Mus musculus: one gene and its partner. The protein of the gene in region 1 purifies or fractionates together with the protein of each later gene. This does not show direct contact. Links are inferred from orthologs where the notes say so. Each region holds a gene or a part of one and is shown on either strand. Other genes may lie near its edges.

Region 1 (3,823 bases):
AGGCTCACAGCATGCACACACACATGCACAGACAAACAGCATGCACAGACTCACGGCATGCACACACACACACACACACACACACACACACACACACACATCCTTTTTCCCTAAGCCATTTCTGACATCTCTTTGGAGAGAAAAATGGATATGCAGTCTCCAAGGACCAAGTCAGCTATGTCCTGATTCTATCCACACATTGGCGACCCTGCCCTGTCTCTGTCCTCTGCAGGGCTTCAGCTGAATCCCAGAACACAGCCACCTGGTGAAAGACAGTCAGCTGTCAGTGGCTGCTCTGGTAGCCAGAGGATCTTGCCACCTTATTGAAGCTACATTCCTCCCTTTCCCCTGGGTGTGCACTGATGTCCTAACATGTAGGGAACAGTACTCTCCATGAGACAGTGATAAGCTTATCCTTGCCCTAGCCAGAAGGCAAAAGAATGAACTGGGCCCTTGCTATAGCACAAGGAAAATCCATCTTGAGCAAGCAAGCCAGATAGCATTTCATTGACAGGTTCTTAAAACACAAATGGGTCTTGTGGGTCTGGATGTCCTACAGAAACCAGGAACCAGAGGTGCCAGCCAGGTCTTCACTCTGGCCTGTGGCCCCAGGATTTTCCTGCTGTCCTACCTGGCTCTTATCTACCTGAAACATACTCTTGACAATATCTTGAGGGCCAACATATCCCCATAGCCTGGATTTGACAGGATCAGGGTCTGGGTGCATCACGAGTGGCAGAGGCTAGGCTGCTCCCTGCAGTCCTGAGGTCAGGGCTGGGAACCAGAGAGGGCTGTGTTGACTCTTGGAAAGTTCCTGCCATGCATCTGGCTTTGCAGTTTAAAGAGTTGCTGGCTGTGTCTGCCCGGAGCCCTGGCTCCTGTTTAATATTCTGCTGCTTGGTTGATGTTGTGCTTGGCTCCTGTGGGACTGCAACTCACGGCTGGAAACTGGAGCCAATTTTCTGTCTTCATCTCGCAGTGTTTTGACTGGAGGCAGATCCAGTTCAGGCCGATCAGGGCTGTGGAAACAACTACCGAGTGTCTGTCAGCCTCACCCTGGGAGGAGAGAGTAGGGGAAGATCCTGAGTGTAGAGGAGGAACTGGGAAGAGAGGAGAAAGCTGGGGAAGAGACTTAAACTCACCAAGTGTTGGGAGGACCCTAGGGACTTCCACCCCCTCCCCCAATTGATTAGCAGATCTCATCAAAGGGGTCTCCTAGGGGCTTGAATAGAAAATTGATTTCACCTTATTAGTAGAAGGGAGGCTGAGGGTTCTGGCCCTTCCTCTTAGGGGTACATTTTAAAGGTCGGGAGAAAACTGTATTTGGGAGGCAGAGCAGCTGTCTGAGAGAGGCTGAGGGGATCTGAGAACAATAAGGAGAGTGGGCTCTAAAGATCCGCCCTGAAATGCAGAGCTGCTGATCTCAGTGGCTAAGCTAACAGCATCAAGAGCTTGCTAAGGTTTCCTTGGAAAAATAATCAGATGGTTGGGGGATGGGGGGTGGGGAGGAAGTAAAAGTTTCTTCAAGCACAGGAAGATGCTGAGACCATCCTCAGGCTGGCTCCTAATCAGAGCTCTTTATCTATCCCCCCTCCCCCTCCCCTCTTTTCCACCCCAGATCTAAGGCTGTTAGAGATGACGCTGGTTCTGTCCATGAATAGATTCTGCGAGCCCATTGTCTCAGAAGGAGCTGCTGAGATTGCCGGGTACCAAACACTATGGGAGGCTGACAGCTACGGAGGTGCGAGCCCCCCAGGGCCAGCTCCAGTTCCTTCTCAGGGAGACCGGGGAGCCAGCTCACACCTGGCAGGTATGGCCTTTGGCCTTCTCCTTAGGAGGCAGTGTCTAGTCGGACCCTGGGGCTGGGCTCCTTGGGAAAGCCTGTGGTTACCACTGTGGATGTCCGGGAACAGCATTTTTAAAGGGACTGAAGTAGATAGCAAAAGTTTGGATTCCAGCTTTCAGACCCGTTGGAGCGAATGGTCCTCAGGGATGTACAAACGGTCACCGACTCCACAGCAAGACCTCTATCACCCCACAGTTCATAAAGGAATCTGCCATAGCTTCAAGCTGCCTCTCTTTGTGGACCACCCGATTGATGAGAAAATAGAATATGTTCTTCTAGACATTAATTCTGATAGTCTCAAATAAGTTCTTCTGTGTTCTTATTCAGTGATCGGTCTGTGGGTCTTCTTTCTTTCTTCCTCTCTCTCTTTCTCTTCCTTCCTTTCCTTCTTTCTTTCTTTCTTTCTTTCTTTTTTTCTTTCTTTCTTTCTTTCTCTCTTTCTTTCTAAGAAACTGAAATATAAGCTTCATGAAAATCTGGTTCCTGAGAAGGTTTTTAAGTCTTCAAAGGGGACCTTTGCTTTATTCATGGTTGACATGTTAACATTTCCAGAGTGGAACATAATTTACTTGCTCCAAACTCTAAACTTTAATATTTAACTTTGTATTTTAAGAGAAAAAATGTTATAACTCCCATGTATAGGTGTGTGGGTTTTTTTTTCTAACTCTAAAGTGATTCGTACCATGGTTCTGCCGCCTGTGAGAAGAGTCTAAGTAAGTGAAGTGCTGGCATTACTTCAGATAGGTCACACCCCTTCCTCCTGTGGATTCTGCTGTTGCCCTATGCACAGAGTTGAGATTCCAGGCACTTAGTAAATGAAGAAAGGTGGGTGACATTTTCCTCTAACCCTGCCTGGAAATCTTTACCTTCCCAGGTTCATAGGACTCTGTCCAATAGCAACTATGAAGACAGGTTTGTCTTTGTGTCACTGAGTGTACAGACAGGGATGTAGCCAAGTTTTCCACTAGAGGGAAAGGAAATGAAAGTATTTTGCTTTGAGAATCTCTGGCAGGCCTTATGTCATTTGTCTGTCTGATTTATTACCACAGGATCACATTACAGGGGAATTCCAAATCCTATAAGCACACCCAAGGTCACATACTTCAAGAGGAAGTATGCAGAAGACGAGGATCTTCACCCACCACTCAGCAGCTGCAGCCATAAAGTACGTTTTAAATAGTAGTTACTTCATTAACAGTTACGATACTTCATAGCACACACTTGAACCATTTCCAGACATTAAATGTTCCACCCAAGCAATAGAAGAGAGCCATTTCTCTGTGGAGCCACGTGAATCGCTGTCATATGTAGGGGGTGGGGCCCTGCACTGGATAGTTTTATGTCAATTCATCACAAGCTAAAGTCTTCTGAGAGGAGGGAACTTCAATCGAGAAGATGCCTCCATAAGATCAGGCTGTAAGCAAGCCTCTAAGGCATTTTCTTAATTAGTGATTAATGGGGGATGACACAGCACACTGTGGGTGGTGACACCCATAGGCATGTGGTCCTGGGTTCTATAAGAAAGCAGGCTGAACAAGCCACGATGAGCAAGCCAGTAAGCAGCATCCATCCAGGGCTTCTGCATCAGCTCCTGCCTCCAGGTTCCTGCTCTGTTTGAGCTCCTGTCCTGACTTCCTCCAATGGTGAACAGTGCTGTGGCAGTGTAAGCCTAACAAACTCTTTCCCTCCCCAGCTTGCTTTTTGGCTGTGGTGCTTCCTCACAGCACTAGAAACCCTAACTAGGACAGAGGCTGTGTTCCTTCTCACACTCCTTGAAGAAAGAACCAGAAAGAGATTCTCTCCCCAGATATAATATTACGTAAGGAAACACATCCTTTTGCCTGTGGTTTAATATTCCCAGGTTGAGGGATAGGGCTGCTCTGTCGTATCATGTGGTGGAGATGCACTTGACTGCGAGGCCACTGCTTATGCTAATTGGGGTTTTCCTGACCTCCTGAGGTCAATGAATCGTCCCTT
Region 2 (3,823 bases), on another chromosome or scaffold:
TAGTTTTATCTTTAAGGACAGATCAGGGAAGAACAAGGTATTCTGTCAACAGCCAGGCCAGGAAGAGAATACCCACTCTAGCTAGAGGGACAGTGATGTGTGTCCTGGGGCCACCACCCTGGAAATGACCATCCATGTCCCTCTCCCCCCTCACTGTGCCTTGTGTAGAATACCTCTGAATATGGGCAATCTGTTTCTGCTGCATCTTCTACTCACTGGCAGGGGATGTTACTAGGTCAAAAAGCATGCCCCTTGCAAGGGTCACTACTGACCTCTACACTGAGCATGTACCACTGTCCCTTCCTGAGAAGAAGGTGGCCACTCTGCCATTCCTAATTCAGTGGTACTTGCCACCCAGAAGCCAGCTCCCGGAGCCTCTCCCCCGTACTCCTTCCTTGGACGTCACAGGAGGAAGAATCAGTGGCGATAATTTTATGGCTCACCTTGGCTGTGACACAGACATTGTTCAGAACACACTGGCTCTTTTATGAAGGATCCTTTAGAATTAATTAAAATTTAAATCCATAAGCAGATAACCTGCCATCAGGAGATGGTAGACCTCATATCATTGGCTGAAGGCGCTGACAGAATGAAAGCCTACCTCCTTGGGAGGAGGGGATTCTGCCAGCACACGCCCTCCAGGCTTGAGCTGTGAGCTTCTGGCCTCACAATCGCAGGGGTCAGAATCACAGGTCCTCTCCATCTCCACCTCCCCCTCTCTCCTCTCTTGGTCTCTCCCCCACACACCTGGCTTCCCCAGAGGATCCCCGATAACATCCGCAGTCAAAACCAACAACGCTGTGAACATGGGAAGAAGCTAGAGGGAAAACTGCTTTCAAATGGGGCCCTCAATAGGGGTGCAGCCTTCTGTGAGGACAGGGTAGAAATGAGCAGTAAAGCTGGTGTCCTTGGTGTTTGAAGTATTCAATCTCGTCTCCACCTTGGAGCCCTCCATGCCCATTATATCTACAAGGGTGGGAGATTTGTGACCAGTCAGGGAAAGCTGAAGGGTGGCCTGGTTGTCACTAAAACCACAGAGAAACCTGGAAGGCTGAGTGAGTCAGGACAGCCACACCCGCGGGGCCTCACCATTGGTGGACAGCAGCGAGTGCGCGGCGTTCTGCTGCGGGAGCCATTTGATCTTGTTGATTTTCTCCTCTATCTCCAGGCTCTTCAGGTAGTCAAACTCCGGCTCGTGGCTCTGGAAGGTGCTGTATACATCGTACTCACCCTGGCTGTGAGGTGCGTTCTTACTCTGCAGGGAAACCCAAAGGCAGACTGAGCCGAAGGAGTGCCCATGGAAGAGGGAGGCAGGCGTGAGAAGGGGCTGAACACGTGTTGCAATATGTGTACCATCAGCATCAGCAAAGGAAACTACTGATACCGTGTACATGTGTGTACAGGGATGTGTGTGTGTGTGTATGTGTATGTGTGTGTAGGTATGGTACAGGGAGGGTGTGGGTACATGCAGGGGGTATATGTATGCAAGCAGAAGGTGGGAGATTGGAAAGTGTGTGTGTGTGTGTGTGTGTGTGTGTGTGTATGTGTGTGTAGAGGTATGTGCAGGTATGTGTGTGCAAGTGTGTATGTTCCACAGGTGTGTGTGTAGGCATGTACACAGAGAGAGTGTGGGTATATGCAGGGGTATGTGTGTGCAAGTAGTGGGTATCAAAGTGTGTGTGTGTGTGTGTGTGTGTGTGTGTGTGTGTGTAGGTATGTGTACTGGCTAGTTTTGTGTCAACTTGACACAGCTGGAGTTATCACAGAGAAAGGAGCTTCAGTTGAGGAAATGCCTCCATGAGATCCAGCTGTAAGGCATTTCTCAATTAGTGATCAAGGGGGAAAGGCCTCTTGTAGGTGGGACCATCTCTGGGCTGGTAATCTTGGTTCTATAAGAGAGCAGGCTGAGCAAGCCAGGGGAAGCAAGGCAGTAAAGAACATCCCTCCATGGCCTCTGCATCAGCTCCTGCTTTCTGACCTGCTTGAGTTCCAGTCCTGATTTCCTTGGTGATGAACAACAGTATGGAAGTGTAAGCCAAATAAACTCTTTCCTCCCCAACTTGCTTCTTGGTCCTGATGTTTGTGCAGGAATAGAAACCCTGACTAAGACAGTATGGTACAGGGAGGGTATGGGTACATGCAGGGGGTATATGTATGCAAGCAGAAGGTGGGAGATTGGGAAGTGTGTATGTGTGTGTGTGTGTGTGTGTGTGTGTGTGTGCATGTGCACAGAGAGGTGTGTGCACAGTTTTGTATAGGTGTGTGTGTGTTTGTGCAAGTTTGTATGTATACAGGGATATAAATGTGTGCAGGTGTGTATGCATGTGTACCTGGGTATTTTTGTACATAGGTGTGTATATACAGGGTGTATGTGGATATGTGCTAAAGTGTATGCATTGTATACAAAGGGTATGCAGATGTGTGCCCAGAGATTTGTGTGTGTGGACGAGGGTTTGCAGGTGTATATGCAGGTGTGCAAACATGTGTGTGAACATGCACACACAAGGGACAAGGGACAAGCTTAGTATCATCCTCAGAAACACTGCCCACCCTCTTTGAGGCAGGGCCTCTCATTGTCCTGGATCTCACCAGTTAGGCTAGCAAGCCTTGGAGATCTTCCTGTCCCCACCCTCCCCAAAAGTGGGATCACAGGCACTCGTATTTTCATGTGGGTTCTGGGGAACTAAATTTAGGTCCTCATACTTGTGAGACCATGGGTCTCCCCATGTTTCCACAAAGTGGCCACCATTCACCCCGCTGAGGTCAGATGCCAATGCTGAGCCTCTATCCATCCTCATTAGTCAGGTCTTAACCCTGCTTCTCACGGTGGCTCCCACCCCAGTTTGGGTAGCAGAGTTCCTATGTACCCCCTCTTGGTGGAGACCTCCAAAAGCTGAGTGCTGAACCTGCCATAAATACTGGGACCACTTTTCTAGCAGACAAGTCAAGTTTCTATGACAACACAAGATCACAGCTGGGAACGAGTGAAGATGGCCCAGCCAAGCACAGCTTCGGGTTTTCTGCTCGTTTTGAAAGTGCCTATTTTTAGGTCCCCGTCTCTGTCTTGAGTTAGGATCTATTTGAAAATCCTTCCACGTTTTCGCCTCCTCTTCCCATGAGCCCTAGTCGTGAAAAAGGTCAGCAGGAAGAGAGGGAGAGACAGACTAATGGAGAAAAGCCAGGACCTCTGAGCTCCTTTCTCTCTGCAGTGGGCAGAATGATGGCTGACTCTGGTGTGCCCTGGTGGGACAGTTTGGTTTTGTGACACCTGTGTGCACCAGGCTGTCCCTGGCCTGCCCTTGGCGAGCTATTTTAAGCCCTCTATGCTGCAGTTCTTCAGCTGTCAGATGAAGGGTAACAGCAGCTCTCTGTGTGGTGGGGTGGGGATGAGGGGTCCGTATGAGCTAAGGCAGCAAGGGGACCTCACCCTGGAGGGGTGAAGGAGGCTTCAGCTCCTCGCCTGACCCTGCCTCCCTTGAGCCTCTCCCTTCCCTGGTTCCTCATCCCCCAACACATTCAGTGATTGAGAGGCCCCCCTGCTAGGGTGACAGAACACAGCCAAGAACCCAGCAGGTTCCCACGGGGCTTGCTGCTGATTGATCTGTCTGTAAGTGGGTGTGCATCTGTACCCTCAGGGACCAACAAAAAGAGAAAACAAGGAAACTGTGTGGAAGGAGAATGCTCAGCACAGGGTCTGCATAAAGTGGTACCTCAGGTGAGGGGGCTCAGACCACAGGGTCCTTTAGGGTTTCAGAAATGACCTCTCGGGTGGATGGTCTCTGGTTGCTCTTGTATTCAGAATCCTGCTGCATAGCAACAGGGG

Evidence for each region.
Region 2: the proteins of Sertad4 (region 1) and Ppp2r2c purify together in Homo sapiens (affinity purification with mass spectrometry; 3 studies listed by BioGRID and IntAct, counting the BioPlex papers as one, with this or other methods). This does not show direct contact. The link is inferred for Mus musculus from reciprocal best matches to the Homo sapiens genes SERTAD4 and PPP2R2C.

Annotation. Positions count from the first base shown.
Region 1 is NC_000067.6:192,848,939-192,852,761, reverse strand, and holds part of Sertad4 (SERTA domain-containing protein 4), read left to right. Parts: intron 1-1,014; exon of another isoform or gene 1,015-1,069; intron 1,070-1,618; coding exon of another isoform or gene 1,619-1,635; coding exon 1,636-1,810; intron 1,811-2,895; coding exon 2,896-3,011; intron 3,012-3,823.
Region 2 is NC_000071.6:36,923,717-36,927,539, reverse strand, and holds part of Ppp2r2c (serine/threonine-protein phosphatase 2A 55 kDa regulatory subunit B gamma isoform), read right to left. Parts: intron 1,256-3,823; coding exon 1,090-1,255; intron 10-1,089; coding exon 1-9. UniProt on the Homo sapiens protein: The B regulatory subunit might modulate substrate selectivity and catalytic activity, and might also direct the localization of the catalytic enzyme to a particular subcellular compartment.